Elephas maximus indicus: one gene and its partners. The protein of the gene in region 1 interacts with the protein of each later gene in a pairwise test. Links are inferred from orthologs where the notes say so. Each region holds a gene or a part of one and is shown on either strand. Other genes may lie near its edges.

Region 1 (7,384 bases):
GCATATATGTTAGTTCCTCTGCCTAGAATATAGTTGGCAAAATCCTAACCCAACCAGACAGAATTTGCTCCCTCTTCTGAGTTTCTGCACCACTATGTTCAAATTACCTTCAGATAACTAATAGAACACTGGTCTGTATCAGCTTCCAAATGAGACTGTGAGCAACTCCAGGGCAAGGCTGCCCCTGGCCATCAACACGTGGCATGCAGTAGTATGCCATCCTTTGATAACTGAAGAAAGAATGAAAAATTTCTAACTTGATGAGAAAAGGAGAGGAATGAGATACAAAATTAGGAATGTGAGCACATCAGTGGGCTGAATTACAAATGGGTTATTCTACTTTGGTTCAGATTTGGCCTACATTTGACCCCTCTGGGAAAATGCACATTTGTGACTTGGACCAACTAAAAAGGCAAAACGTTGTTACTCATGGCTCAACAAAGCTCTGACAAACCAAAGAAGATACCAGATTCCCCTCTTCCTTCTTTACTTGCCAAAGTACATTTTCCAAAGTGGGGGAGGAATGAGGGTTGGAATCAAATCTACCAAAATAAATAAAATTGATCTACTGAGATCCAGCTCCATCAGCACTTAGTCACAGCACATGCAAGAGACAAATGAAAATCTATCCTGGGACGAAGGCCAATTTACATTAAGTACTATTGATGCAAGAATACGGAATTCTTAAAGTGAAGGCAGTGCCAATAATACATAGTTCCCAACTGTTTTCCCCTGCAGAACTGCCACTGCACTTGATCTCACCTCGTCTCTGATCTCTGTGATTTCAAAAGAATAACCTACACAGTGAAGCCCCATACAGGAACTGACTTTAGCTTCTGGAAGATGTGAACATCAGGATGTACAACCTTTAATACAAACTGAAACACCATAAGAAACCCTACATAGAGGTCAAAAGTCCTTGGCTTAAAACGTGGAAAAAAGCTTCGAAAAATGAGTGGTGTATTTCCTAAACCGTGCTTTGCACGCAGCTGCTTCCAAATCAAGATCTGTACTTTGAAATTCCCACCTCGAAGATGGCAAATCGTTCTCCCACCCCCTGCAGCCTAAACCGAAAGGTAAGAAGAGAACAGGCAACAGGCTGGGACAGGGGTATGCGCTCTCCCTGTCTCTCCCTTTCCAGGGGAACCAGATCGGATGCGAAGGCAGCTCGTACCACTCTCATCCTCCCCTATAGCACAGGTACGGGAAATAAAAAGCTCACCCCCACCTCTCCCCTCCCTAAAAAAAGCAAACGACGCCGAGATCAGTAACGCAGCGGCCGAAACCACCCAAGGGGACCAGCCCGGGGCCGCCCGCCGCTCCAGCCGGCACCGCCGCAGGGCATTCGGACTTCCGTCCCGGACAAGCGCGGCCGGCCCCCACGCCGGGTCCGCTCGAGGGGCCGGCAAGTGCGGCCCAGGTCCCCTCCGCTACCGGGCGAGCGAGGGAGCAGACCCGCGGAGGGCGCGGCTCCACCAGGCAGCCAGAGCGCCGCCGGCGAGGGGCGCGCCGGGAGGGGAGGCTGGGCGCCGTTCCCGGTGCGGCGGCTCCCGCAGCTCCCTGCACGCGAGCCTCCCGCCCGCGCCAAGCGCGCTGGCACCTGAGAGAGCGGACGCGGCGGCGGGCAAAGTTACTTACTGGGAAGCACGGCTGTCCGGCGCGCTCAGCTCCCGGCGCCTCAGCCCCGCGCTGGCTCCCGCTCTCCGCAGCCCGCGGAAGGAGCGGGAAGCGAGCCCGGCGCCGCTTCGCCGGGAATCGCCGCCGTGGCCGCTGCCTCCAGCCGCCGCCGCGGATTTCCTGGCAAGAACCAAACTCTGGCCAAGACTTCACTTCTCAACCGCCCCTGCTGTCTTCCCGGGGGCGAGCGCCGGGGCCGAATCGCCCAACCTGACACGCACCGGGGCCAATCCACGGCCGCCCAGGGCGGGGAAGGGGCGGGCCAGACGGCGGCTCCACCTATCCGAGTGCGCCGGGGGCGGGTCAGGAAGGGGCCGTCACTCACGGGTTAGAGTGAGCCCGCTCGCCGCCGTCCCTCCCCCACCGCGTCAGGGTTGTCCCCGCCGCCTGCCTGATTTCCCTGCTAAAGACGCGGTCGGGAAGTGTCTCAGCACGAGTCCCCGATGCCCGAGTGCCGCAAGGAGAATGGGACAGCTGGGGGAGAGATGGAAATATAGGGAAATCTGGAGGGAGGCAAGAACAGGTGGTGCAGGAAAAAGAAATGTAGGTGTGCTGGGAGAGGACAGCTGGGGTGTGGACAGGGCCTGACGGGGGGCAAGGGAGGTGCTGGGAGCGGAAGAGTGGGAAGGGAGAACCGGTTATTGACGAACAAGAGCACCTGAGCGGACGAAGAGACGCGAAACGAAGGAAGAAAGCGGGCGGAGAGCTCCGATTCCGGGTGGTGAAAGGTTGCAGAGGCGGGGGCAGGGCACCTGGGAACAAAGGTGAGAGGGAGGTTCCGCAGGTGAGGTTGTTTAAGGAGCCAAAAGGATAAGGGAGGAAAGAAGCCCAAAGCGGGGATGGACGTATTCTAGGGGTAGAAAGGGGGAAAACCAGTTTTCTTGCAAACTCTCACTCCCCCAAGATAAAGGCAAACGCGTGTCCTTTGGCCTAATCGAGACGTTGTGCAACTGCAAGATCTCCGACGAGACAAATACTGTCTGAAACCATTTTGTTTGAAATTCTTCTCTTTCCACATTACCTCCTTCCTTTCTTAAAAAGTGTATTGATAAACTTAATGCGATCTACAGAGACCTCAGTACCCGCTGAGTGCTCCTAGGGTCGTCCCATGAAAGCCCCTTGAGGGTTGGGGTGCCGGGAGGGGCCAGCCTGGGAGCAACACTATCCTCATGGGTCTAACAGCAAGACAGAAAGAGGCCTGACTCTTAAGAAAGGTGATTAGGGGGCGGCAGGTGAGGCCCCGCCCCCTTGGCCCTCACCTGGGGGAAGGTGCCCAGGGCTGAGCTCCGGCATACACCGGCCTGTATCCGGCCTCACTGTAAGGCCTTCGCCGGACCCCACCTCTCCGCCCCTCCCGCTCTGCGGACAGGCTGCCGGGGGAGCACCAGGTGAGCAGGGCGGGCCTCGCGCCTTCGCCCCCCTCGCGCCGGGGGCGGGGCCGGGGCGGAGCCTCTAAGCTCCGCCCAGCGGCCGGGCCCTGCCGCGCCGAAGCGGCTCCTCCTCTCTCCTTCCGTCTCCCCTCCTTCCGTCGGTCTTTCCTTCCTGCTTCGCCTGCACGTTGCGCGGTATGGGGCAGAGCCTCCGGTCCGCCAGCACCGCCTGAGGAGCCCGGAACCTGCCGCCGCGATGGAGGACGACCAGGAGCTGGAGAGGTAACGGCCCAAGAGGCGGGCGAGCGGGCAGGAGGAGCGGGCTGCGCTCGGGCCGGAGAGCCGGTGGCAGGAGGCGCGCGGCCAGGCCGGGGCCTCGGCCTCCGCGCCCGGCCTGGCAGGATGGGCCTGACCCGGGGCTCCGAGAAGAGAGGAAAGGGGGATAGACGTGGACGCCTGGGTGGAGAGGGGGCCCGCCATGGGGAAGAGAGAGAGGGTGAGAGACATGGATGGCTTGAATGGACACGCTCCGTAGACTGGTAGCTATCAAGGAGGGGAGACAAGTTATGAGACCAGAGCAAAGCCCCCGAGCTGCTCCTCCCGCCTTAGAACAGCAGGAATAAATAAAACTAACGGGTGACATTCCGCACCAGGCCACTGTTCCCGAGTGGATGGTATTGGGGTGTTCGCACAGACCCAAGCAAGTCCTGTGTTTACTGCTCCCGAGCTTCTCTGTGCAGACTGTTAGTAAAGCCACTTCTCTATGTGCTGAGTTCTTTTTCTCCCTCCTGCTTGACTATTCTCAGACCTTCCATTCCTCTAGTTTCCTTACCTCTTGCAAATGGAAGCCATAGCTGGGCCTGCATGTCGATAATCTGTGGACTTAAATCTGACATTTACACTTAAGCAGTATTTTTTTTCCTATCACTTTCGGTGCCCTCTTCATCCTCCAGCAGGGCCCACCCTATTCTAATCTTATCTCTTTCTTGTGACTCTACCAAAATAATATTTTAGCAAACATTTATGCTTGTGCCTTAAGAAGGCTCTCCTTGTGTCCCTATGGAGGGTCAAATGGAGTAGGGAGAAACTGGAGGCAGTAATTTAAATATTGGTTAAATGAATTTGCCGAGGCAGGAAAATAAGAGACAAATAAATAGTTCTGTGTGGTTGGAGTGGATTAGAGTAAAAATGTGTTGTAATTGTGATTGGTAAATGAAAAAAAGCTAGTCATGAAAACTATTCAGTATGATCTCATTTTTATAAAAAATGTGTGTGTAGAAAAACACAAGGATCGAAGACCTCAGTGGCTGAAGGCGAGAGGAAGACTGCCCTGGAAATGGTCCAGGCAGCTGGAACAGATAGACACTGTGTGACATTTGTATTGCACGAAGAGGACCATACCCTAGGAAATTCTCTTCGTTACATGATCATGAAGAACCCAGAAGTGGAATTTTGTGGTTACACTACGACCCATCCTTCAGAGAGCAAAATCAATTTACGCATTCAGACACGAGGTGGTCTTCCAGCCGTTGAGCTGTTTCAGAGAGGCCTGAATGAGCTCATGAGTGTCTGCCAACATGTGCTTGACAAGTTTGAGGCAAGCATAAAGGACTATAAGGACCAAAAAGGCAATCAGAAATGAGTCTACATTCTAGCCCCTTATGCACCATATGACAAGGATACTCTAGGATATTTTCTTCACGATCATGCACAACCCAGAAGTAGAATTGTGTGATTAAAGCATGATCTAGCCTTCAGAAAGGTGTGCTTCTAGCTATTGACCCATTGCAGCTGTTGGATTCCCTGCAAGTATTTTTGTATTCTTTTGAATAAATTCCCTCTTATTTAAACTGGTTTGAGTGGTTTCTGTTATTTGTAGCCAAATGATACCCAAGGATGAATTTTCTTTTTCTTTTAGCTGAGCCAGTACTGATAGTGAGGAAACTATAAGGAAACCAGGCCTTAGACAAGGACTTTGATCATAGGACTTAAAAGGAGTACACATTCATGGCTGTGATTTGGAGGAGGAAGGGCAGTAGAACATAGCCCCAGATAGACTGGTTGATTGAAAAAAAGGAAAGGAAAGGAAAATTTGGTTTCTTGATAGATATATATATATAGATATGTATGTGTGTATATATATATATTTAGAGAATTGCAGCCTTTGCAGTATTGGGCAAGGTTGGGGGATAATTTGAAAGAATTTTATGAGTTTTGCTTTCCCATGAGAGTTTTAGGTGGTGTCAGGCTCCATCTTTGTGGGAGCTCTTATAGAATAGATGCCAGTTTCTTGCTTGAATTTCAGGATACTGATAAAATATTTAGTCAGAAATGCCCTAAGTATAAAAGTGATAGGAGAATTTGGAAATGAATAATGGTGGTGGTTGAACAACAGGATAAACATAAATAATGTCACTGAATTGTACACTGAAGAATGTTGAAAAGGCAAATGTGTTGTTACATATATATTTACCATAAAAAAAAGAAAATGACCTAAGTTGGCCAAAAGGTTTTTATTATATCAAACTAAACTCATTACTGTTTAGTCACCTCCAACTCATAGTGACCCTATAGGACAGAGTAGAAGTACCCCAGAGTTTCCGAGGAGCATCTGGTGGATTCAAACTGCCAACCTTTTGATTAGCAGCTGAACTCAATCACTATGCCACCAGGGTTTCCAAGGAAGAGAAAACTGAAATGTCTAGGTAACCTTTTCAGTTCTTAGATAGGTCTCTAAGAATAACTCAGGTTTACGTAGAAAAAGCATCGTTCAAGAGAAAGTAAGAAGGAAAATTCTGTCTAGGGAAAATAACTTTTCCAGAAAACTTGAAATATTAGTGAATCCCATCCAAAATCTGTCCTGTCTACCTCTTCAGTTTGTCTCTTGTGCCTGTCCCACCCCCGCCCAGCTCGACTCTTCATTGACCCTAAATACATGTCAACCCTTGGACCCAAGCACTCTAGCCTCCATCCCCCCCTCCCCCGCCGCAGTGCTCTTTGGGGCCTTTATGTTGTTCCGCTTCCTGGAACACTTAGTCCCTCCGTACTCTAGGTCAAAACTTACACATCAGACTCCCCATCCTAGTTTGGGTGCTTAAGTGCTTTCATTACACCCTATGTTTCCTTGTCTTAATGTTTATTGTGCTACTGTTAGTGCTTTTATTTGTCTGTCTTCCTGGTATACTAACTCGTGATCACATTGCCTGGCGTAATGCCTAACCGAGAAAAAAACGATAGTGGACATTTAATAAATACTGGATGAACCTATGTATGTAATTATGGCACGTAGCCTTTCATTCACTCAAATCTACTAACTTGAGTGAACTTGTGGGAGCCAATACTTTGAAAGATGAGAGTGATGTTAATGAAATCAAGAGGACAGAAAAATGTCAATTGGAGTTAATGTTCTGGAGGTTTTTGGGCAATGGGCAACATTAGTGCCTAAGAAGGGTAAACAAACATTAGCATTCATTGAACAAAAGAATGGCTTAGTTTGGGTTTCCCAATAAAGAAAACACACAAAGGACACTGGAGAGGTAAGTTTAGATGGGAGCAGGAATGAGAAAGATTAAAGACATGGAGCAAGGATAGGGAATATTCTTTGGGTGACAGTCATGGATTCTGGAAAACCAATGTCAGTTTATGGGAATTAGCACTCAAAGATGCCCTAAAGGGATAGGTGGAAGAGGTTCAAAACCTTCTCTGCCTCTTACAAAATTTTGCCTATGAGTAGCCCTATGGGAATAGTAAACAGAGTTTAGTACCTCTGAACCAAGGCCTGTTGGAAGATGTAAACAAAACAAAAACCTGTTGCCGTCAAGTCAATTCTGACTCATAACAACCCCATAGGGAAGAGTAGAATTGCCCCATAGGGTTTCCAAGGAGCAGCTGGTAGATTCGAACTGCCAGCCTTTGATTAGCAGCCTGACTGGTTAACCACTGCACCATGGTTCAATAAGTCAACCTAGAGGCGTAGAATGATACAGGCTGAGTCATTCTTACCAGTACCCGTGGGAAAGACACCCACTGGTGACCACTGATGCATCACGTGACTTCATTGCTTCAACTGGGATTTAGTGTCACTGATAATGTGGAGTGCTGTCTTGAATCTGTAGGTGGCCAGTGGAAGAAAATGAGCACCTTCAGAAGGCAGAAGGGGGAAAACTGAGGGCAGGCAAGATAACCAAAAGGCACATCTGGAAGGAGGAAGGAATCTTACTTCCATAAAATCTGTAGAAACCTGAGGGAAGACTGAATTGGTCAAAAAAAGGGTGAGGGAGATGGACATGAATTGTATGTAAGACAACATATGATATATAACATATATGTTGTCATAA
Region 2 (7,384 bases), on another chromosome or scaffold:
TCTGACCTTTTTCTGGTCCATGGGCACTGCTGAAGATATGCAGTCGCCCTAGGGGTTCCAAGTTGCTCCCCACAGATTCACTGGATCTCTCTGTTTCCTCCTCTTCTTCAGCCTCCCAGTCGATAACCTGGGTATCCTCCATAATCTGGAAGGGAACACATTATCATCATCCCCATCATTAGCTCATACACACAGTATTAGAGAGGAGACTGATAACTGGGGGTGAAACTGGATAGTTACGGAGGTTGATGATTTTCTTTCCGTCAATCGTTGTTATTATCCTCCTGAAGCGTTTTTCAAATATCTTTGATGACAGAGAGAGAAATATACAGCCTCTAGTACACAAACATAACAACGATTGTGAGCGTGGCGCAGGACCAGGGTAGTGTTTTGTTCTGTTGTACACAGGGTCGCTATGAGTTGGAACTGACTCAACGGCACCTAACAACACAGATACATGTGAACATATGTACTTCCTTACATAAACAAAAGTTTTGAGAAACAATACTTAACCTTAGTATGCACAATACGCTGATTATCTTTCATCTATTTTTTCTATACCACATATATCTCTTAAACGTTGACTTGCAACCTACTAAGTTGATTTCACTATCCATTATTGGGTCACAACCTATAGTTTGAAAAAGAGAATTTCAAAGGGAATTAACCTTTGCCAAACATCAACTATGTGTTGGGCATTGTGTTATGTGTCAGGCATCATAGCCATATGAGGTACGCATTTATGAAAGTAATGCTAAAAATATTTTTAAAAGTTGCTCAATATAACACAGCAGTAAGTAGAAAGGATAGGAATATATGTAATTCTGGCTGTAACGCCCATGCTTTTTACACTTTATCCTATCACCTCAATGTGATCACACTGAACTGCAAAGAATCATAAAACCAACCATCATGTAAAGATGCTTGCTTTATGCCAGTTACTATTCTAATTACACTAGCTGACTCATTTAACAGAAGAGCCCTGTAAGGTAGGTATTATTGTTATCTCCCATTTTTTCACATAAAGAAACTGTGACACAAAAGAACTTGCCCAAGATCACCCTGATGTCTCTCCTATTTAGTACCCTTTGCTGGCTTCCCATGTTCACAGGATAAAATAAAATCTAACTCCTTAGCAAGACCCTCCACGATCTGAACTTCATGTCCTGCAATGCCTCGCTCCCCCAATTTCACGAGCCTATAATTCAGTCACATGGGCCTTCTAATTAATCTCTGAAAACACAGTCCTCCTTGTCCTGCACACCTGCATGCCTTAGCCCAGCTTGCCTCTGGCCTTTCACTCTGAGTTTCCTGCTCCAACTCCTAATCATCCCTCAAGATTCAGTTCCAATGTCACAGCTTTCCAGTGTTCCTCCTGTATGTTCCGCAGCCTATCCAAACACTTCTCATTATAGTGTAACCATTACTTTCCATTTCTGCCTTCACACGCCCCCTCCAGGGCTGGACCAGCAGAACTGTCTTTTCCCCTAAAGTCCATCATATTCAACAGTAGTTATGGAGCAAAGTTTGCCGTCAAGGTATGTGGGACATATCCGTGAACCAAACATAAAATGAGCCCTGTCTTCATGGAGGTTACATCACTGAGCCTACTGGTAAAAGAACAAATGAAAGAAGAAGCAACTCAAAATAGCATGAGTGGGATTCACTTAGAAGGATGCCACCCTAGAGGGAAACTGGTCAGGTAGGGAAAGTAAGACGACCCCTGGATAGTGTCAACTCCATCCTCATGACCGGCCTGGCCTACGAGTCTTGACTCCAGTACACCAACATCTTCGATCCACAGCCCAAGTAGGTTCCGTTATGATCCAACGTCTCCCTGCGTCTTCATACCTAGAAGTCTGAGCTGGACGTCAGGAACGGATGAACACTGTAATCCCCGAAGCAAATGCCGAATGGTCTCCGCCCAGTCGCTCCCAAGGCACGCCCCTCCCGACCTCCGGGGAAAGGAGAAAATGGCACCCCGGGAAGCCGTGGGGGAGGCCCCCAGAACTCACCTACTTTGAGTCCCCGCGCGCGCCACCAGTAACGGCCGCGACCCGGGAGGCGGGAGTGCGTGTGCAGGAAGAGGACAGGTCCGCTGGTTGGCTCTTGTTGCTGTCCTTTACAGCTCTGCTGCACGCTGATTGGTAAAGTCTCCGCGCGGAGGCTCAGCCCTCCCCCGCCCCACCCCCGCAGTTCAAAAAGGCTGCAAGGAGGCTGAGATCTGTTGAGACTGTAATGGGAGGCTTCCGTGCGCCCGCAGAATAGAGCACCTCGATTGGGTAGCTCGAAGGGACAACCTACTACCGTTTCACCTCCCACCTCCCACTTCCCGCGCAGATTTCCAAACCGCGACCACAGAGTGCGACACCATCTTCTGGCGGCGGATAGAGGGGCTGTACCATAGACGTCGCCCGATGAGTCTGTTGCGGCCAGAGCGCCGTTCCTCCGTCCTCCTAGGCATGGTGTCTGCTGACTCATGAGAAATGGGTCGCGGGTTGCAGTCGTGGCTGCAGGCTGCAGTTTGGAGAACCGTTCGAAGGCGTGGCGCTTGAGGACTCCTCATAACAATGGAATTTCATTTCCTTTTTATTTGGCTTGTTTTATAGAAGTGCTGTCTTTTCCTGGGAATACATTCCTGACGGACATTTTGAGGTCATTTTCCTAAATCTCCCTAGGCAAACAGAGAGGACTGTTATGTATATGTTAAATGTATTTTAAAGGATGACCGAGGTCTGTCCGCAGCTTTCAAAGGGTGGGGGGAAGATAATAAAATCATTTTATTTCATTACCTCAAACTAAGACATGAAAAGAACAGTAACAATTTGACCTATGTATTATTATTATTTTTTATTATTATTTAGGCAGTCCTCTCTCATTTGTTACCTCAGTTAATTTTGACTACAACAATCAAATAGGCAGAAGTCAATTTTACAGACGAGGGAACTAAAGCTCTGTAGTTAAATGTCTTGCGTAAGTTCCTACAGCTAATGTAAAAAAAAAAAATGTTAGACGGAGTCAAATTGAAACAAGTTCTCTTAATTCCATGTTCTGAGCTCTCTCTACTGCCACAAACTTGTTTTCATTGTGATCATGCCCTAAAACATAGAATATCCTTTAAAAAAAAAAAATTCCACCTCAAGTGAGTAGATGGACATGAAAGGGTCTTACACAACTTGATGCTCCTTTATTTAGAAAGCGTCTGAGAAATGTGTGTTAAATTGAACGTGAATTAACAATGATGACCTTGCTATCATCTCTTATATTATGCTGCTTACCACGCTATTGTTATTACTTGTTTATTTGTTTCATCTAACTGCAAGGTCCTTGGGGTCAGGGAGCCAGTTCCTAATCATTTTTGTATCCCTAGTTCCTTGGTTTGGTGGACACTTAGTATCCATCAAATGAATGAATCTCCAGAAGGAGCATGCCACTCTGACCCACCCAATTTTCTCACACCGCTATTCACCTACCTCCCTTTTTATTTTTCAATTTTGGGACTCTAGATCAATGTGAACTGCATTAGGCACCTAACCCCACAGTTCCCTGTTAAACAAAAAGACCAAGGTGTCTTCAACAGTGCTTCAGGGCCCAGATCCTCTACATGGACCAAGACTTCTGACTTCACAGGTCCCAGATATCAGCTTCCCTAATCAATGAACTTATTCTTTGAACACACACTCCAGACAACTACATCTCTATTCTGAAAAGTCCTTGCTGCAATTTTGTTTCTCTTTTGAAATATCATTCGGAAACTCCCAAATAAATAGCAAGAGGGCAATCCCCTCCTGTTTCCAGAGGTATGTAGAGGAACCGTGGCTTACTGGAGTTCAAGCCTAGGTCATCAAAGGACCAGAAGATAGTAGCAAAGCAGGGTGCCGCACTTCTCCCCCGTTTTCGCTGAGGTAAGCAGCCCAATCTTCCTAAGAGCTACGGCAGCGGGGAGCTTTTCAGGGCGTGCCCAGCCCACCTCCCAATGCCTGGCACCCCAGACTTCCCAATTCTTGCATCTCCCAAAACTACTCCCCTCTGTACACACAAAAAAAGAGGAACAGAGGAAAGGGATCTTGTGCAAGGTCATAGTTTTTCATTAAAAAACAAAACACCAAAAAAAACCAGTACCCACCCTTTCGTCACCTCATTTTGCAGCGTGGACAACAATAGAGGACTACAACTCCCAGAGAGGACCGCGCGCGTCCCACTCTCGCGAAGACCAATGGGTGTCTGGTACATGACAGGCATCGACTAATCAGGGACAGACTTGATGAGGCTTTGTCTCCCGACCGCGGCGCGGGACCCAATCTCCCGCCCCCCAGCCCCCGCGCACGCGCGCCCCGCCCTGCCGCCTTCCCTCCCTCACCCTCCCCCTTCCTTCTTTCTCCCTCTCAGAACCTTCCTGCCGCCGCGTTCGGACCTCGCTGCTCCAGACTCCGGGGCACGTTCCATCCCCGCAGCCTGCGATCTGCAGAGCCAAAAATTATATATCGTTCTCTTGCCCCGCACACAACCGAGGCGAGCAGAAAAAAAAAAAAAAACTAAAATAAATTTTCATCATGAGGGAAATCGTGCACATCCAGGCTGGTCAGTGTGGCAACCAGATCGGTGCCAAGGTAAGGATTCTAAAACCTCTTAATATTTCTTTCAAGAAGAAAAATTCAGATCAGTTATGAAGGATGGTTGTGGATATTCGCGCTCTCCATCCGTAATCGAGCTTTGCAAAAATAAAAAGTGTGTGTATATACGCAGACACATTTGTAGCTAGAATTGCCTTTTGGAAAATGGGGAATTTGGTAAGTTTTCTCATTTTGGGTAAGCTGTTGACGGTTTGGGGGGCGGGAAGACGGAGGATCTGTAAGATTTTACTTAGGAGGGATCTTATAACGGTCCGAGGACGGGGGAGGGAAGAGACTAGCAAAGGGCTCGAGACAAAGCGAGGCGAGGTCGGCCCCATGTGCCTCCCGCCCAACCCCCCCGTGACTCGGGTTAGGACGAGACTGGAGGGGGAAGGGGCGAGGCTGGGCGGGCAGCTGCAGAGGGCAAGCCAAAGGTGGGGGGCGCGGTGCGCCAGAGTGGGCTGCTGCCCGTCCTGCACGAAAGATCAGGGACCTCGGCGCGCCCGCGGTCCCCGAGGGGCGGCTCCGTAGTTTTGCGTGGATGGAACGATAAAATGTATAGGGTCAATTTTACTTCCTTTTATTTCCTCTTTATGAGACCCTTTTAGGGCGTGAACAGATAGGAGACAGAAGGCGCGAGAAAAGGGGGAATAGGCTCGCTAAAAGGTCCTCTCGGGATAGTTGGAGGAAAAGAAAAAGAATCCTTTAAGGCAGGAAGGAAAAAAAACTATCGAAGGAATAAAATTCCAAAGCCGGGGGGGAGGGGGATTTTACTTTTTTTTTTTTGCGCGGGTTACAGTGTAGCGGGGGAGGGGACGGGGAGGAAGTGCGCTTGCTACGTTGTAGCAGCAGGGCGGGGCCCGGCGGGGGCGGGGCCCTGGCGCGCGGGGACAATGCGGCTCTGCCCGCCGGCGGGGGCGCTCGAGCCCGGCCCCGCCCCCCGCGCGGAATTCGCGCCCTCGGCTCCGCCCCTCCCACGCGCGACACCGCCCTTTGTCAGCTCCACGCGCGCGTGCGCGCGCCGCAGTCACGTGGAGCAGGGGGAGCGACTGCGGCAGCGGCGCGCTTCTTGGTCCCCGGTCCTTTGTGCATGGAGGGGCGGTGCCCGGGGGGGCGGGAGGGGAGCTTATCCGGTCAGCTCTGCCTCCCCACCCACTCGCCTCAGTGCCCATGAACGCCAGGCTCTCTCAGCAGCATATCGTCTCAAGTCCCAAGGAGTGGAGTTGAGTAAAGTATATAAATTGAGGTTCCTGAGGATGCGGGTGTTTAGGGAAAGGGCGTGGCAGGCGGAGAGAAGGGGTGCCAGGCTTTGAAACAGAGCCTACATGGTGCGCCTGGAATAAAATGGAAGGGGATGCATAGTTGGCTGGAACCCGAGCCAGCCAGGGGCTCATTGCTCTCCTTCGGCAGTTTTGGGAGGTGATCAGCGATGAACATGGCATCGACCCCACCGGCACCTACCATGGGGACAGCGACCTACAGCTGGACCGGATCTCCGTGTACTACAATGAAGCCACAGGTGAGGGCGTGTGCCCGCGAGGATCGGGTCCCATCTCCTCGCCCACTTCTCGGGGGGGGTTTCTTTCAATCTCTGGGGAATACCTTGTTCCTTTTGCATGAGTCCATCATCCTTTCCCTTTGGAAATGTTCCTCAATTTGGTTTCTTCCAACTTCTGGGGCCAAAGCCCAGCTCTGCTGCCACCTGCTTGCAGCGCCTGGAATCACAAGTCTGGGTCCCAGGCTCCCTCAACCCAATGCATTAGTTTTCCCTTCCAGTCAGTCGCTCTTACTCTTTTTCCTGTAGGTGGCAAATATGTTCCTCGTGCTATCTTGGTGGATTTAGAACCTGGGACCATGGACTCTGTTCGCTCAGGTCCTTTTGGTCAGATCTTCAGACCAGACAACTTTGTTTTTGGTAAGTTATACAGAAGAGATCAGTAGATGTAGTCTTATTTAGTTTGAGTATAAGGGGATAAACGAGAGTTAGAAGATGATGGTTTTACTGGAGAACTTACAGAAGGCTCTGATAGAAAGTGTAGGTAACAATTGTCTTAGCTGGTAGGTTCTAGAGGAGGATATATCACAGGCGAGGGTGGAGTAAAGATATCTCCAAGGGGGTTATTCCAAAAGTTGAAAGGTAGAAGTGTGCTCATGTACCTTCACACCTTCCTAATCAAGCTTGATTCCTTGACCCCATTCCAGGTCAGTCTGGGGCAGGCAACAACTGGGCCAAAGGCCACTATACAGAGGGGGCCGAGCTGGTCGACTCTGTCTTGGATGTGGTGCGGAAGGAGGCTGAGAGTTGTGACTGCCTGCAGGGCTTCCAACTGACCCACTCACTTGGCGGAGGCACAGGCTCTGGGATGGGCACCTTGCTCATCAGTAAGATCCGTGAAGAGTATCCTGACCGCATCATGAATACCTTCAGTGTGGTGCCCTCACCCAAAGTATCCGACACTGTGGTTGAGCCCTACAATGCCACCCTCTCTGTCCACCAGTTGGTAGAGAACACTGACGAGACCTATTGCATTGATAATGAGGCCCTTTACGATATCTGCTTCCGCACTCTCAAGCTGACCACGCCAACCTATGGAGACCTGAACCATCTTGTCTCAGCCACCATGAGCGGTGTCACCACCTGCCTCCGCTTCCCTGGCCAGCTCAATGCTGACCTCCGCAAGCTGGCAGTCAACATGGTGCCTTTCCCACGTCTCCACTTCTTCATGCCTGGCTTTGCCCCACTAACCAGCCGTGGCAGCCAGCAGTACCGG
Region 3 (7,641 bases), on another chromosome or scaffold:
CACATTATTTTGATTACCGTAGCTTTGTAGTAAGTTTTGAAATCAGGACATGTGAGTTTCCAATTTTGTTCTTGATCAAGATTGTTTTGGTTATATGGAAAGAGCCCTGGTTGCACAGTGGTTAAGCAGTTAAGCACTTGGCTGCTAGCTGAAAGTCAGTGGTTTGAACTAAGCAGCTGCTCCGCAGGAGAAAGATGTGGCCGTCGGCTTCTGTAAAGATTACAACCTTGAAAACTCTATGGGCAGTTCTACTATGTCCTACAGATTCACTATGAGTCGGAATTAACTCAATGTCAACAGGTTTGGCTGGATACATGGGACCTGATGCAATTCCATATGAATCTGAGGAATAGTTTTTCAATTTCTGCAAAGATGGCTGTTGAAATTTTGAGAATGGTTGTGTTAAATCTGTATATCATTTTGGTTAGTACTGACATCTTAACAATAGTAAGTCTTCCAATCTATGGAAATTCATTTATTTAGGTCTTTTTAAATTTCTTTCAGTAATATTTTATAGTTTTCAGTGTCCAAGTCTTTCACCTCCTTGGTTGAATTTACTCCTAGGTATCTTATTCCTTTAGACACTATTGTAAATGGAATCACTTTCTGAATTTTCTTTTTGACTTGTTTATTGCTGGTGTATAGAAATACAACTTATTTTTGTGTGTTAATCTTGTACCCTGCAATTGCTGAATTAGTGTAGTACTCTAGCAGTTTTTTTTGTGTGTGGATTATTTGGGATTTTCTATGTATAGTATCATGTTGTCTACAAATAGAGAGTTTTCCTTCTTCCTTTCCAATTTGGAATCCTTTTCTTTCTTTTTCTTGTCTAATTGTTCTGGCTATAATTTCCAGGACAATGTTGAATAGCAGTGGTAAAAGTGAACATTCTTGTCTTGTTCATGATCTTCATATTTTTTTTAAATCAAAACCAATCAACAGATATTTAAGTATTGTTATGCAAATGCCCACACTAGGTGCTGAAGGAGATACACGGGATCCTTAATTCTTGAACATATGAGGCAATTCGTATTTGTCTTAAAATCTGCTGTTTAAGGGAAATCTGTAATTGTCATTATCTCAATCTTGGTGATAGTGTCTCTCTGTGGAGCCCCTCTCATTATTACCAAACTCAAGGAAACGGAAATGAGCCAGTGAGGCTCAGGAGAGGCAGTAAATGCATGTGGGAGTTGCATTCCTATCACTCAGTCTACTTTGCCTTTAAATTTATTCACTCATTCAACAAATACTAAAGTACCCACTATGCACAGCAACTATTGTAGGTACTGGGGATACGGGAGTGAATAAAACAAATAATAATAAACAAATTAACAAAAAATGTAGTACTGGTAAGTGCTAGAAGAAAAATAAACTAAGGAAGGGAATTAGGAATTGCACACACGTAATGTGCTTGTATCTATGGGTGAGGCGAAGCTGGGCTGGTCTGCAGCTTTAGATAGTGTGCTAAAGAAAGGCCTCTGCAAGAAGGTGACATTTGAATCAAGATCTGCTGAATGTGAGGCAGGGAGCCAAGGGGGTATCTTGGTTGAGAGCGATCCAGGCAGATGCAGTAACTGCAAAGGCCCTGAGATGGAATGCATGATCTGTGAGAAGGAGGCTAGTGTGAATGAAGGAGAGTAGTGGATGTGGCTAGAGAGTTCAGGGGCTGTGGGTGGTGGCTGGGTAGAATGAGTAGAGTTTTTCTAGTAAAGAACTTTGGGTTTTCCCCTGCACAAGACAGGAAGCCATCTGGTGAGTTTTGAGCAAATGAGTGACCTGCTCTCCTCTGACAACTGGGTTGAGAATGGACTGTTGCTAGTAGGGACAAGAGTAGAAACAGATTGACCAAACCAAAACCAAACCCGTTGCCGTTGAGTCGATTCCGACTTATAGCAACCCTATAGGACAGAGTAGAACCGCCCCATAGGGTTTCCAAGGAGCACCTGGTGGATTCGAACTGCAGACCCTTTGGTTAGCAGCCATAGCTTTTAACCACTACACCACCAAGGTTTCCTAGAAATAGGTTAAGAGAGAAATATACTGGTAGTTTGGACTGGAGTAGTGGCATTGAAGGTAGTGGGAATGGGTCAGATTCAGGGTTAAAACTCAGACTGAGAGCAAATTCATAAGAGGAGATGAGAGAAACTTTCTCTGAATTTATAAAATAAAATTTTCCTCCTTAAAAAATCACTCTACACCTAACTTTTCAGAAATGGGTCTCTCTTCAGTTAAGCTTACTGGTTAACAGAAGTCAATACGAGCCAGTTTTCATATTCCTTAGTGTTATTATACTGTTGTGCTATATTATTTTCATCTTCCCGTCCTGGGTTCATTTTCCTACTAGCACTTGAAGCCCTCATGGTGCAGTGGTTAAGAGCTTGGCTGCTAGCCAAAGGGTTGGCAGTTCAAATCCATCAGTTGCTCATTAGAAACTCTATGGGGCAGTTCTACTATGTCCTATAGGATTGCTATGAGTCAGAATCGACTCGATGGCAACAGGTTTGGTTTTTTTTTAACAAATACTTTACTCATATGTTTGTCTTCTTCACCAGGATATAACTTCACAAGAGGAAGGATTTTCTATTACACTTACTGAGAAGTCCCTCAAGTAGGAAAAGTACAAGACAGCACAGGTTTTTTTAGTACAGTAAATCTGACTTATGGCTACCAAACTACATCAGCCAGTCCTTGAGTGACTTTCCTGACTTATACCCCTTATTTAAAAAAGATAAAAAATTTCAAAACTGTATGTATTGCATATAAAAGTTTTAAGATTACACAGAACTTTGATGTTGAATATTAAAGATACTTTAAATTCGGTTAAGAAAAAAACCTGTTGCCATCGAGTTGATTCCAACTTACAGCAATCCTATAGGACAGAGTAGAACTGCCCCATAGGGTTTCCAAGGAGCAGCTGGTGGATTCAAAGTGTCAACCTTTTGATTAGCAGTCAAACACTTCACCACTGAACCAGTAAGGCTCCAAATTCAGATAACAAATCTTGTTTATTTCGTAAGACTCGAAAGTGATATTTTATCATTTAAGATCCTAATGGAATGGTCTTGTATTATCTGTGAGTATGACGCTTCTTGCAGTGACAGTTCTAGTTCTGGAATATTTTTGCTAAAACCATCAAGATTTCTTGCTATAAAAAAGCTATGAAGAACTGAAGTGTGATTATATCTGGCTCTGCAAACATTGGGAAAGTGCTATGAGCCTGCCATTAGTCTAAGAAAAGCTTCAGAATATGTATGCAAATTTTGCAAATTGAGTTGGTTTTCCCGACGGTACTATGAATAAAAAAGACATTTTAACAAATCATAGGTTCATAGAAAACCTTTAGTTTTGTGGTCTAATTTCTCAAAGAATAGAAAATTAACCTTCAATAAAAAGTACATGGGGACCTTGGGCAAAAGTTTTATTTTTCACAGGATTGAAGTACAGGCGGAAAGAGGCAAATCCTACGGTATCTGGAGGATCTAACTAAATGAATTTCTACCTAAGCTATTAAATTACAAGAACTGAAGAGATCATTTTTCTCCTACAGTGGCCTTTCAAATTAAATATAAAAGCAGCTCAGGCAGAGAAAAGTATGCAGAAAAACTTCTGGGTATCACACTGAACTTGACCAACATCTTAATTATTTTTCTCTCATTTAATCAACTATCTGACCGTTGAAGGAGAACTCGACACCCCTCCCCCACTAAGTTTATACAAAATACCACCCCCAAAAGCCAACTTGTCCACTTTCATTAGAAAGAGTTAAAGCGCAAATCTACATGTTGCAATTCCTAAGCAAACGTAAGGGCACCACAGACCAACAGAAGGACGCACTTTAAAATGTGAGGTAACAAGGTCTTTAAAAATAACCAAGCGTCATTGCTCCGCTGTGACATCAGCGACTACATAAGCACTGCGATCTAGTTGAAAATTTGTGGACTAGATATTTTCGCAACGTTTTTATAAAAGAAAATGATGCTACTACTACAGAGGGCTTCACTGAATTTCTTCACTCTTCCCTGAATTTCTTTACCGTTGCTTCTGAAAAGGGGGCTGTCTGCTGTTTCAGGGCAATATTGGGGGAAAAGAACCTCACTAACAAAAATCCATAAGGCTTTGCTAATGTGGGAAAAAGATGGTTCTCTGGATTTGTGCCTTGGAAAAAAAACTTTTTTTTTTTTTTTTGAGTTCTTGCTTTGCTCTTAGTGATCTGATACACAATCCCCCACACATATTTAGGTGCTCGGCTTGACAAAGTAGGGAACAGATGGGAGCTGCAGTCCCGTCTTTCTCAGGCTCTGTACAGGCAAACAGGACACAATTTCGAGCTCTAAGTTTGCTTCTCGCGGACTCCAGCCTTAGTTTCCCCCTTCGTTTGTTAGATTTTTCACCTCGCTGATTTTATTCAGGGTCGGGAAAGAAGCGGTCGTTACTCCGCCGCCGTGGGCGGCCGCTTGGCAACGAGGGTCTCGTGAGGGGGCAGGACCCATCCCTACCCTCAGTCAAGGCGGGTTTCCTGGGGCCGGTCGCTCACCCCTGGTGGCTTCCCGCCCGCGGCGCGGGGGCGGCTCCGGTCTGGAGCTGCCCTTTTCCAACATGGCGCCGCGGGAGGCGGGCCGGCTCTCGGCTCCCTGGGTTCCGGCGCCGCGCGTTTTGGTTCCGGAGTAACAGTGTGCTCGCGGTCGCCTTCCTACTCCTCCCGCCTCCGCCGCCGCCGTCTCCGCCGTCGCCGCTGTCGCAGCCGGACGCTCGGCCTCGGGCGGCCGGGCCTGAGCCCGCGCGCGCCGCGTCCCCTGGCCGGGGGTGGGGCAGAGGACTGGCCTCCTGAGCCCTCGGCCGGCGGCTCCCTCCTAACAGCCCCAGACTCAGTCCGCTCCAGTCGGGGAGCCTCCCCTCGTCCCCTGAGGAGGGGCGGACACCTGCCGCTGTATCTCCCCCAAACGGGGTCCTCGCTCGGCCGACTCCTCACACCCACACAGACGGCAGAGAGCTTTCAGCAACCCGTCTTGCCTCCCTCTCCAACTCCAGAACCTTCAGACTTCCGCTCGTTCCTACTGTCCCCTGCCCCCTCCCCTGTCCACCCTCACAGGGAGACACCCCAGCCCCTCACGGAGCCTGGTTCCGTGCCTGCGGGCCCTTCCTGACCACCCTCCTCTCTCATTCACCCCTCACCCTCCAGACCTCACTTTTCACCCTCTGCTCTCTTCTCCTCACCCCCCTTGGCTCCTCTTTGAGCCCCCGCCTAAACCGGAGGCCAGTGGGTACCCCGTACCCCAGGATGTGAGCTCCTCTGGTCTGTAATGCTGTGGCTGGCCTTTGGCCCCTTCCATGCCATGGAGAACCAGGTGCTGGTCATTCGCATCAAGATTCCAAACAGTGGCGCGGTGGACTGGACAGTGCACTCCGGGCCGCAGTTACTCTTCAGGGATGTGCTGGTGAGTGTCCGAGTCTCAGCGAGGTGGTGGGGTGCTCAGGGACCTGAGGAGTGGTCAGCACCTTAATTGCTGAATCTTCCCCTGGATCGCTATGAGTCAGAATCGACTCGACGGCAGTGGGTTTTTGGGCTTTTTCCCCTGGATGGGGCAGTTTTATTGCTTTAACCACAAGCATTGATTAATTTCATCAACCCAGATCTGGCAATTGTGCAGGACCCTGGGGAAATAGAGGAGAATGAGACCACACCCCTGCCCTCAGGGAGCTCACAGACTGGAATCACACACATAGAAGCAACCAACTGGGATACAAAAAGCTGAGTCTAGAAGACAGACCTTTTCCCAAGGATTTGGGGCAATGTCTGGCCGAATTCTAGCCATGTTTTTCTACTGAGTTTTCTGAATTTTCTCCTGAGGAGCAGCTGGTGGGTTTGAACAGCCACCCTTTCAGTTAGCAGCTGAACACTTTAACCGCTGCGCCCCCAAGGCTCCTCTGAACCTGGTGACCAGTGAGGAAAGGGAAACTGAAACAAGGGCAGCTTGAACTTCCCATGTTTCAGCAAACCTAAGACATCGTTGATTGTAGGACATGCCATTGTGGGATGTATCACTAAGAAAAACTAATGCTGCCCTATAAACCATGACACACCATCCATCGTAAAGACAAAATAAAGCCCAATTTCAGAGATGTTAAAATACGGGAAAATGTGTATCTTAGAATCAAGATACTTGAAATGAATTTCAAATAAAATCATGGGATGTTAAAGCAGAGTATAATCTTGGAGTTAGGCCAGGTTACAAAAGGCAGGAAAAAGTTCACCCATGTACCTTTTTACAGATAGCTGCTGAGGAGCCAACCAAAAGAAAAAAAAAAAAGAAACCCTAACCCATTGCCGTCAAGTCGATCCTGACTCATAGCGACCCTAATAGGACAGGGTAGAACAGCCCCATAGGGTTTCTAAGGAGCAGCTAATGGACTCCAACTGCTAACCTTTTAGTTAGCAGCTGAGCTCTTAACCACTGTGCCACCAGGGCTCCTGCCTTCCAAAGCCGTGTAGCTCCTGATGGGGAGAGTCAGTACTAGAACTCGGATTTCCTTACTATTTTTTTTTTCCCACAGGCTGCTGTGCCACTTCTTATCTTTCTAACATTCATTTGAGGTAGGATGCCTTGTGCCCATCTTACGTATTGAATAACTGAGGCATCAAAGGCAGAACTGACATAGCAAATCGCAGATCTGTGGTAGAACTTACCCGCTAGGTAAGATGGGGCTGAGTGGCAGGTATGTGATGCAATTTTTGATTGTCATGAGTGACTCGACGAAACTTTGATTGCTGTAATTTCATTTTGAGTTCTGGATGTTACAAACACCCAGCCGTGCAGGTTTTCAGGTGCCTGGGCCAGGAGTGCTGAGACAAGAGTGACATAGCAACCTCAGTATTGTGCACCAAATGGTATCCTTCTCTTTGCTCTCAGAGTTCTCCACACACTCACATGCACGTAGATTTCCCTTCTTGATGAGGCCCAAACTACCTAGCATGGTCCTCTGGGCAAGTCTTGATTGGCTTTTGCCTACCTGGCACCAGCTTCAACTCCTACGACACACCCCGAGCATCCTGTACTCCAGGTGTGTGGAATCACTTTCCATGCTCTCCCGGGGCCCAGGTTGTCCTCACTTTGCCCTTTTCTTCAGCTGTTCAACTCCCACGTATCCTTCAAAGCCAAGCTGCGCTATTCTTCCTTAGTCTTGGTTATGTGGCCCTCCTCTGTGTTCCCAGAGTTTTGTGTGTGTATGCCAGCAAAGCGAGACATGTTGTGTCATGGTTATTTGTCTGTCTCCTCCATTAGGTGGTGAACTTCTGGAGGAGATGGGCATGTCTGTTTCTGCTCTGTTTCTGGTGCTTCATAGGACTCTGAAACACTTGTTTAATGAGGGAGCTAAAAAGTTATGGTACACTTACAGTGCTGTGGAAAGAGCACTGGGTTTTGAATCAAGACATTGGGGTTTGATTGCAAGCTGTCCCACTAACTAGGCAAGTCACTGTATTTCTTCTGTGCCTCCATTTCCTTATTTGTAAAATGGAGGATGATACCTGCCTCAAAGACTTGTGAAGATTAAATGAGATTGCATCTGTGATGAGAAAGACATGAGCTTTCTCTCACTTTACTCATTTCAGACAACAGAAGGTATAAGTAGAATAGGACAGTG
Region 4 (7,516 bases), on another chromosome or scaffold:
GTTTGACTCACTGGCCCTCTCAGAGCCCAGAGGGGCTGCAGGACCACTGCCTCCCAGCTTCCCAGTGGGGCCCTCTCCTGGAACCCAGGCATCCCCCTCTTGGCCCCGAGGTCTCCCTCAGGTGCCCCCTGACTTAAGAATCCCTGTCCCGGCTGCCAGCCCCGGCTCTCACCTGCCCGGGACCTGGGAGCGTCCTGAGGCCCGGGACTTCCGGGGTGTGGGCTGGGACCAGTCTAGGACGGCCCACCTTCAGGGGCACTGGGCTGTGGGCACCACCTCCAACCTCCAACCGGAAAAGCCGGCTGGATTCAGGCTCTGGTTACGGGGGCCCCAAGGGCAGGGAGTGGCCACACTGAGTGCTGGTCAGCCTTAGGGGTGGGGGGACAGGGCACGAGGGTTTCTAGAGTGGCCGGAGCCCAGAATCTGTGGTAGAAAACAGAGACCTGGGCACTCGGAGGGCAGGAGCAGGGGGCGGAGGATCTGAAAATGGAAGAAAGCCAGGCCCTGGGGAGCCAGGCCCCTGGGCAGCCTGGCCCACTCTGTCTATCCTACAGGGGTGAGAGCCACAAGCTGGGACAGCACCCTCAGCACCAGCTGGAGACCCTTCCTTGGGCTGGTTCTCTCAGGCCTCCCACCCATCTTCCAGGAAGGTGCCCCCTGTCCCCCACCTTGGCCAGTTCCCCCATGTTCCCTGAAGGCCTTGGGATGGCTCCTGGGTAGGGAATGGAGGTGGGAGAGGGGCCTTTAATCCACCCCTGCAGGGGCTCCCACGTGAGTACAGGGATTGGCATGCAAGGGGGCGGGCACATGCCTGGCTACACATGGACACCATGTGCACCTGCCCGGTTTCACAGGTACCTGACTCAAAACTCATGTGGAGTCAGACACATGCAAGCAGGTGCACAGAAACCAGGGTCCCCCACACAGCAGCACCCTGCAGGCGCACCCCACACGCTCAGGTACACACCCTGTCCCAGGCAAAGACAGGAGTGCACCGCAGACAGCCTGTCACCAGGTAATGGATGGAAACACGGATGGACACAAACACGCAGAGGTTGACTAATGGCAGCCACAAAGAGGGACACCCGGGGGCATTTGGAGTTTGCATATGCATGTGTGTGGGTACAAAGCTTCAAGACACACTCACTGAGCGGAGGGGAGACCCAGAGACATGGAGACACACAACCATTCTCAGCTAGGGAGGCTGTGGCCAGGACAGATCTCACAGTGCTGCTAGCTCTCCCTCCTGCAGCCTCAGGCCAGCAAATGCAGACACAAAAGCAGAAATACACAGGGTCCCAAGCCAGCTGAAGGAAGTGTAGACATACACAGAGTCAGGGGCTGACACAGGGGTTATCATTATCTGTCTCCTGGCTCAGGCTTAATCATTGTGACCCTAACATTAAGTCTCCGCAGACACATGGCCACCCCCCACCTGGTCTGAACAGGGCTGGTGGGAGGGCCTGAGGGCCCAGAAGGAGGGGCTGGCTGGGCAAGGAACCCAGAGAAGAACAGTGGGGACAGCCACTCAACTTAAGACCAAAAAGCCAAACCCACTGCCATCGAGTTGATTCCGACCCTTAGCAACCCTATAGGACAGAGCAGAACTGCCCCATAGGGTTTCCAATGGTGGATTCGAACTGCCAGTCTTTTGATTAGCTGCTGTAGCTCTTAACCACTACACTGCCAGGGTTTCTGACACTTAAGACCACCAAAACCAAAAACCAAACCTGTTGCCATCGAGTCAATTTCGACTCATGGAGACCCCATGTGTCAAAGAGTAGAACTGCTCCATAGGGTTTTCTTGGCTGTAATCTTTATGGAAGCACATAACCAGGCCTTTCTTCCGTGGGGCTGCTGCATGAGTTTGAACCTCCAGCCTTTAGTAGCCAATCGTAATCCACTTGCACCCTGCTGCTTTAAACACCTCCTCTTATCCCAGTGTTGTGAGGCGTGGGGGGTAAGGATCCTCACTTTCCAGACTCAGGGGAGAGAAATAACTCGCCCAGGGTGGTCAAGGCCTGTTCTGTCCCAGCCTGCGTGCTTGCTGTCTGTCTTCACCCTGTTCAATCTCGGGAGAGAAACTCCCTGAGATGGGGCATCTTTGAAAAGGGAGCTTCAGAGTGTTGGTCCGGCAGAGAAGGCACGAGGGTGGCCACCTATGCCCAGATGTGTGCCCCCCAGCACGCTGGAGGCCTGCTTTTCCTCTCTCGAGCCCTCCTCATGCCCCAGCTTGTCCCCAAAGAGATGGTGAGCGACTTCCTGCTAGTAGTTGCGTCAAGGGCTCCTGACGCAGTGCCCCCGGCCCCGTTTCCACCAGCACCCCCTCCCCACCCACCCCAGCCTTTAGGGGCCAGGAAGAAACTGCTGACTACTGTCAGCACTGAGAGGGCCCAGAAAGCACAAGGGGAAACTGAGGGCCCCGTTGGTGGCAGATCTGGGGAAAGGCCCCAGGCCTGGGAGCCCTCAGCCTAATACTTTGTCAAGCTGTCCCTGCCAGAACTTGGTGGGGGGCCTGGGTAGTGGGGGGATCTTGAGGTTCAGAAGGCAGACTGGTGAGGACCCTCGTGGAAGGGGTCTCGGGGCTTGGAGGGGCTAATAGAAATGAGTTGTTACTGTTTTCCCTGTGATCAAGGAGAACGGGGACGTGGTCCAGACCTCCAAGGCCGACCCCAGCCTGTCAATCTCCACTCTGTCACTTGGTCGGGCCTGCTGGTCCCTGGGCTGGCACCCCACGGGCCCGCCAAGGCCGAGCCTCTGTCCCCCACCCCACCCCCAGCTCCTCATGTGTCCAGTAGGGCCCGCCCTGGCCACAATTTCAGCTGCCAGTCGCACCTGGGGCAGTTCCGGCCCTCGGCCAGATCCCGGCTCCCAGCCCGACCACCATCCGCCACCCCATTCCCAGAGGCAGAGAGCTACCCACTCACCGCTCTGGGACGGACGCTGGGCCTGACTCCTGGGTCCCTGGGAGCGGCGAGGCTGGGACTCCCGCAGAGTTCCCGGGCAGGGAGGGTGAGTCAGGGCAGGCGGGGCGGGACAGGAGCCTGGGGGCCGCCCCGCCCCGCCCCGCCTCTGGCCCGCCTTCCTCAAGTCGCTCCCAGGTTGACCCCCACTCCTGGCGCCTTGTGGTCAGGGGAGAAGGGGAGGGAGGAACAAGAGCTGAGTTCTCACCTTCAGGTCCTGCCGTAGGTGGGCAGGGGCTGAGCGGGGGGAGCAGGGGCCTCAGAACTCTGGGCTGGCAGCAGTCAGGCTGGACCCTGGGGTGGGGGAAGTAGGGGTGGAGGCACTGGGCTCCCCTAGGCAACCTGTGACCCTGTCAGGAACAAGGTGTGGCCACCTGGCCTCAGCACAGGGCCCAACCTAGGAACTGAGAACAAGCTCCTAGCTGGAGACCCTCCTTTCCAGGGGCTGGGGACAGGGCAGTGGGAGGCTCCCCTTTCTGCCCCAGCCTGGTGGGACAGGGCCCAGCCCACCCTGGGGAAGCAGGCGGAGTGGGGGTGTTCACTGTTCTGTCCATGCTTAGCCTGTCCTGGAAGGAGGGGGCGCTGAGTGGCTCCCAGGTCCTGGGGACACAGAGACAGCAGGACTCTGGGAGCTGGGGGTGGCTCTGCTTCCCACCTCCACCTCTTCGTCCCCACCTAGAGGCCTGGGCTGGGTCTTAACCATTTGCCATGGAGTTGACTCCAACTCATGGCGACCCCATGTATGTCAGAGTACAACTGTGCTCCATAGGGTTTTCAAGGGCTGAGTTTTCAGAAGTAGATCACCAGCCCTTCCGAGGTGCTTCTGGGTGGACTTGAAACTCCAACCTTTTGGCCAGGGATTCCCACTGAGTAGTCGTAGAAGTATAAACCTCTACTTCAGGCTGGAGGCATCTGTGGTTGAACTTTGATCTATTCTCAGTCTGGAAAAAAGAAAAGGAGACCAAGACTAGGGTGAGGAGAGTAAGGCCCCCTACCTCATGGCAGAAAAAAGCCAGAGCTTTCACCAAATGGGAGAGAGCCTGAGACCTGAAACTGTGAGGACTGGGACTGCCTAAGCTTCTTTTGGAGCCCTGGTGGGATGGCGAAGTGGTTAAAAGCTTGGCTGCTAACCAAAAAAGGTCTACAGTTTGCATCCATCAGCTGCTCCTTGGAAGCCCTATGGGGCTGTTCTTCTCTGTCCTGTACAGTCACTATGAGTCAGAATCCACTTGAACACAACAGGTTTTTTTGTTTGTTTATTTCTTTTGATGCTTCTGTTGGAGCCCTGGTGGCGTAGTGGTTAAGAACTCTGCTGCTAACCAAAAGGTCGGCAGTTCAAATCCACTAGCTGCTCCTTGGAAACCCTGTGGGGCAGTTCTACCCTGGGATCACCATGAGTCATAATCAACTCCACAGGCAATGGGTTTGGCTTTTTGGTTTTAAGCTTTGTTCCTCTGTTGCCTCAGGCAACAGAAACCCTGGGTTGGAAGAGGCTCTTTGGACTCAACCCACCACTCCTCCCCCCCTCCTCCCACTGCAGCCCAAAGACAAACCCTGCAGAAACTGGGCCAGTTTTTCATGGTCTATTCAACAGCTCTTTATGTGTGCCATCGTACGCAGGTAAAAGTTGGACAATGAAAAAGGAAGACACAAGAATTGACACATTCGAACTGTGGCGTTGGTGAAGAATATTGTGTAGACTGTGGACTGCCAGAGGAACGAACGGATCAATCTTAGAAGAAATACAAGCAGGGTGTTCCTTAGCAGCAAGGACGTTGAAACTTCAACTTACTCACTGAGCACGTTAGTAAATTCATCAGAAAGACTAATTGCTAGAAAAGAACATCATGGTTGGTGAAGCAGAGGGTCAGCACAAATGAGGGAAACCTTCCATGAGATGGATTGACACAAAAGCCACAAGAGTAGACTGAAACGTATCAAAGATGATGAAGATGGTGCAGGGCCAGGCAGCGTTTTGCTCTGTTATATATAAGACTGCATGAGTCAGAACCGACTCCATGGCAAATACCAACCGTGTGCCAGGCCCAGAAGCTTCCACGGTGAACGAGATAGGCCAGGCCTCCCTCCTCTCACGGAGCTACTGTCCTAGAAGGTTGGAAGAGAGACAGACACTAGGCAGGCAAACATATGAAGGAACAGGAGAGCATCAGTCTGTGATAAGTGCTATGAAGGTAACAGAAAGAGTGAAGTGGTAACAAGAGACAAGGGATTCTGGAGACCTTTTGGAGGAAGGAACGTTTGGGACAGGTTGTTTCCCTGTCCTTCTGCCTCTTCCTCTTTCCAGAAAGGCTTCTCTCCTTGGGACCCATGCCTTGGGTACTTGTTTCCAAGTATATGCTGAAATCGGGCAGATCCGCTGCAAAAGACCTCTTTAAACTGTTAAAAAAGCAAAGACGTCACCTTGAAGACTAAGGTGCATCTGACCCAAGCCATGGTGTTTTCAGTCACCTCATATGCATGTGAAAACTGGACGATGAATAAGCTAGACCAAAGAAGAATTGATGCCTTTGAATTATGGCATTGGCAATGAATATTGAATACACTATGGACTGCCAAAAGAATGAACAAATCTGTCTTGGAAGAAATACAGCCAGGATGCTCCTTAGAAGCAAGAATGGCGAGCCTATGTCTCACATACTGTGGACACGTTATCAGGAGGGATCAGTCCCTGGAGAAGGACATCATGCTTGTAAAGTAGAGGGTCAGTGAAAAAGTGGAAGACCCTCAATGAGATGGATTGATGCAGTGGGTACAACAATGGGCTCAAGCATAACAATGATTGAGAGAATGGTGCAGGACCAGGCAGTGTTTCATTTGTTGTACATAGGGTTGCTATGAGTCGGAACTGACTTGACAGCACCTAACAACAACAAAATATGCTGAAATGAGCGTCTTCATATACTTCGCTTTGTGTACTTGTTCAAGAGCCTCTGAGCTCACTAGAACATAAGCCCCACCGAAACCAAAACACCAAACCAGTTGCCGTGAAGGCAATTCTGACCCATGTGTACAAGGGAGAATTACTCCCTAGGGTTTTCTTGGCTGTAATCTTCATGGAAGATCACCTGTTTCTTCCATGGTGCCACTGGGTGGGTTTGAACTGCCAACCTTTTGGTTACCAGTCGAGCGCAGACCATTTAGGCCACTGAGGGACCTTGCTCCACAGGGTTTTCAATGTCTGTGACCTTTCGGCAGTAGATTGCCAAGCCTTTCTTGCCAGATGCCTCTGCGTGGTTTCAGACTGTTACTTTTAGATCAGTAATTGAATGCTTAATTGATTGTGCTGCCTGGGGATTCCAGACATATGTCTCTTTTGCTCCCTGTTGTACCCTCAGCGCTTGAGATGATGCCTGGCACACAGCAGACGCTAAATAAATGACAGATGAGTTAATGACTGAGATGTTGTCTTGGTTTAGGGCAGTGGTGGCTCAGCGGTAGAAGTTTCACCTTCCATGCAGGGGACCTGAGTTCGATCCCAGCCAATGGACCTCATGCACAGCCCACTCCCATCTGTCAGTGGAGGCTTGTGTGTCATTAGGATGATAAACAGGCTTCAGTGGAGCTTCCAGACTAAGACAGATTAGGAAGAAAGGTCTGGTGACCTTCTGAAAATCAGCCCATGAAAACCTTGTGGATCACAAAGGTCTGATCTGCAATCAACCATGGCAATGGGGCAGGACCAGGCAGCCTTTTGTTCCATTGTGCATTGGGTGGCCATGAGTCAGGACCAACTGGACTCAGCTAACAACAACAGATGCAGACCCTGAGACAAGGAATTGGATGCAAATAGTCCATCCGGAAGGTGATTCTAGGAAGTGCCAGTAGGGCAATGAGGAAGTAAGACAGGAAAGCAAAGCAAGCCGGAGGTGGAGCCAATACGGCACTATAGACAGAAGCACCATGCCGTCCCTTTGAAGCAAAGACTCAAAAAACTAGGTAAAACAGTTACAAACATTGATCATGGAACCCTAAGTACCAAAGGAAGGAATAGAAAACTCAGTCAAGAACCAAATGGAATAAGAAACTGACAGAGAACAGAGAACAAGGAGAGCTATGGAGTGGAAGTCCCATACCAGCTACTGTGGCCAGATTTGCCATCTTGGACTACAGCCACAAAAAAACTCAGACAGGGAGCATGGGAAGGCAACTTCACAGAGCTCCCAACAGGAGACAGAGCACCCAGTAACCAGCACAAAATCATGGAAAATACAGACAAAATCATGAAAAAGACAGAGAAAACAGTGGAAGAAATCAGGAAACTAGTACAGAAACAAAATGTCAAAACAAATAAACATCTAGAAATCATACAAAAACAGCCGTAAGAAATCCAAAAGATAAACAACAAGATTACAAAAATAGTGCAATAGAAGGTTTTAGGAGCAAATTTGAAGCAATGGAAGACAGCATCAGCTAAATTGAAGACAAGTCCTTTGATACCACTTTGAGGTAAAAACAGAGAAAACAAAGAAAAGTGAAGAAACCCTGAGAACACTGTGGGATACAATCAAAAGCAAAAATCTGCGTGTGAGCAG

Evidence for each region.
Region 2: the proteins of LNX2 (region 1) and TUBB interact in a two-hybrid assay, tested with the Homo sapiens proteins (3 studies listed by BioGRID and IntAct). The link is inferred for Elephas maximus indicus from reciprocal best matches to the Homo sapiens genes LNX2 and TUBB.
Region 3: the proteins of LNX2 (region 1) and MAP2K5 interact in binary tests that used the Homo sapiens proteins (3 or more experiments, as listed by UniProt). The link is inferred for Elephas maximus indicus from reciprocal best matches to the Homo sapiens genes LNX2 and MAP2K5.
Region 4: the proteins of LNX2 (region 1) and LRRC8E interact in a two-hybrid assay, tested with the Homo sapiens proteins (3 studies listed by BioGRID and IntAct). The link is inferred for Elephas maximus indicus from reciprocal best matches to the Homo sapiens genes LNX2 and LRRC8E.

Annotation. Positions count from the first base shown.
Region 1 is NC_064841.1:59,714,642-59,722,025, forward strand, and holds the start of LNX2 (ligand of Numb protein X 2), read right to left. Parts: upstream 3,017-7,384; 5' UTR 2,937-3,016; intron 2,412-2,936; exon of another isoform or gene 2,336-2,411; intron 1,861-2,335; exon of another isoform or gene 1,639-1,860; intron 1-1,638. Other genes in the region: POLR1D (DNA-directed RNA polymerases I and III subunit RPAC2), read left to right, coding at 3,304-3,329, 4,326-4,689; protein POLR1D-like, read left to right, coding at 3,304-3,329.
Region 2 is NC_064819.1:91,029,405-91,036,788, forward strand, and holds the start of TUBB (tubulin beta chain), read left to right. Parts: upstream 1-4,372; 5' UTR 4,373-4,553; coding exon 4,554-4,610; intron 4,611-6,023; coding exon 6,024-6,132; intron 6,133-6,417; coding exon 6,418-6,528; intron 6,529-6,815; coding exon 6,816-7,384. UniProt on the Homo sapiens protein: Tubulin is the major constituent of microtubules, a cylinder consisting of laterally associated linear protofilaments composed of alpha- and beta-tubulin heterodimers.
Region 3 is NC_064831.1:57,634,127-57,641,767, forward strand, and holds the start of MAP2K5 (dual specificity mitogen-activated protein kinase kinase 5), read left to right. Parts: upstream 1-4,636; 5' UTR 4,637-5,300; coding exon 5,301-5,435; intron 5,436-7,641. UniProt on the Homo sapiens protein: Acts as a scaffold for the formation of a ternary MAP3K2/MAP3K3-MAP3K5-MAPK7 signaling complex.
Region 4 is NC_064821.1:12,623,451-12,630,966, reverse strand, and holds the start of LRRC8E (volume-regulated anion channel subunit LRRC8E), read right to left. Parts: upstream 3,010-7,516; 5' UTR 2,928-3,009; intron 208-2,927; exon of another isoform or gene 173-207; intron 1-172. UniProt on the Homo sapiens protein: Non-essential component of the volume-regulated anion channel (VRAC, also named VSOAC channel), an anion channel required to maintain a constant cell volume in response to extracellular or intracellular osmotic changes.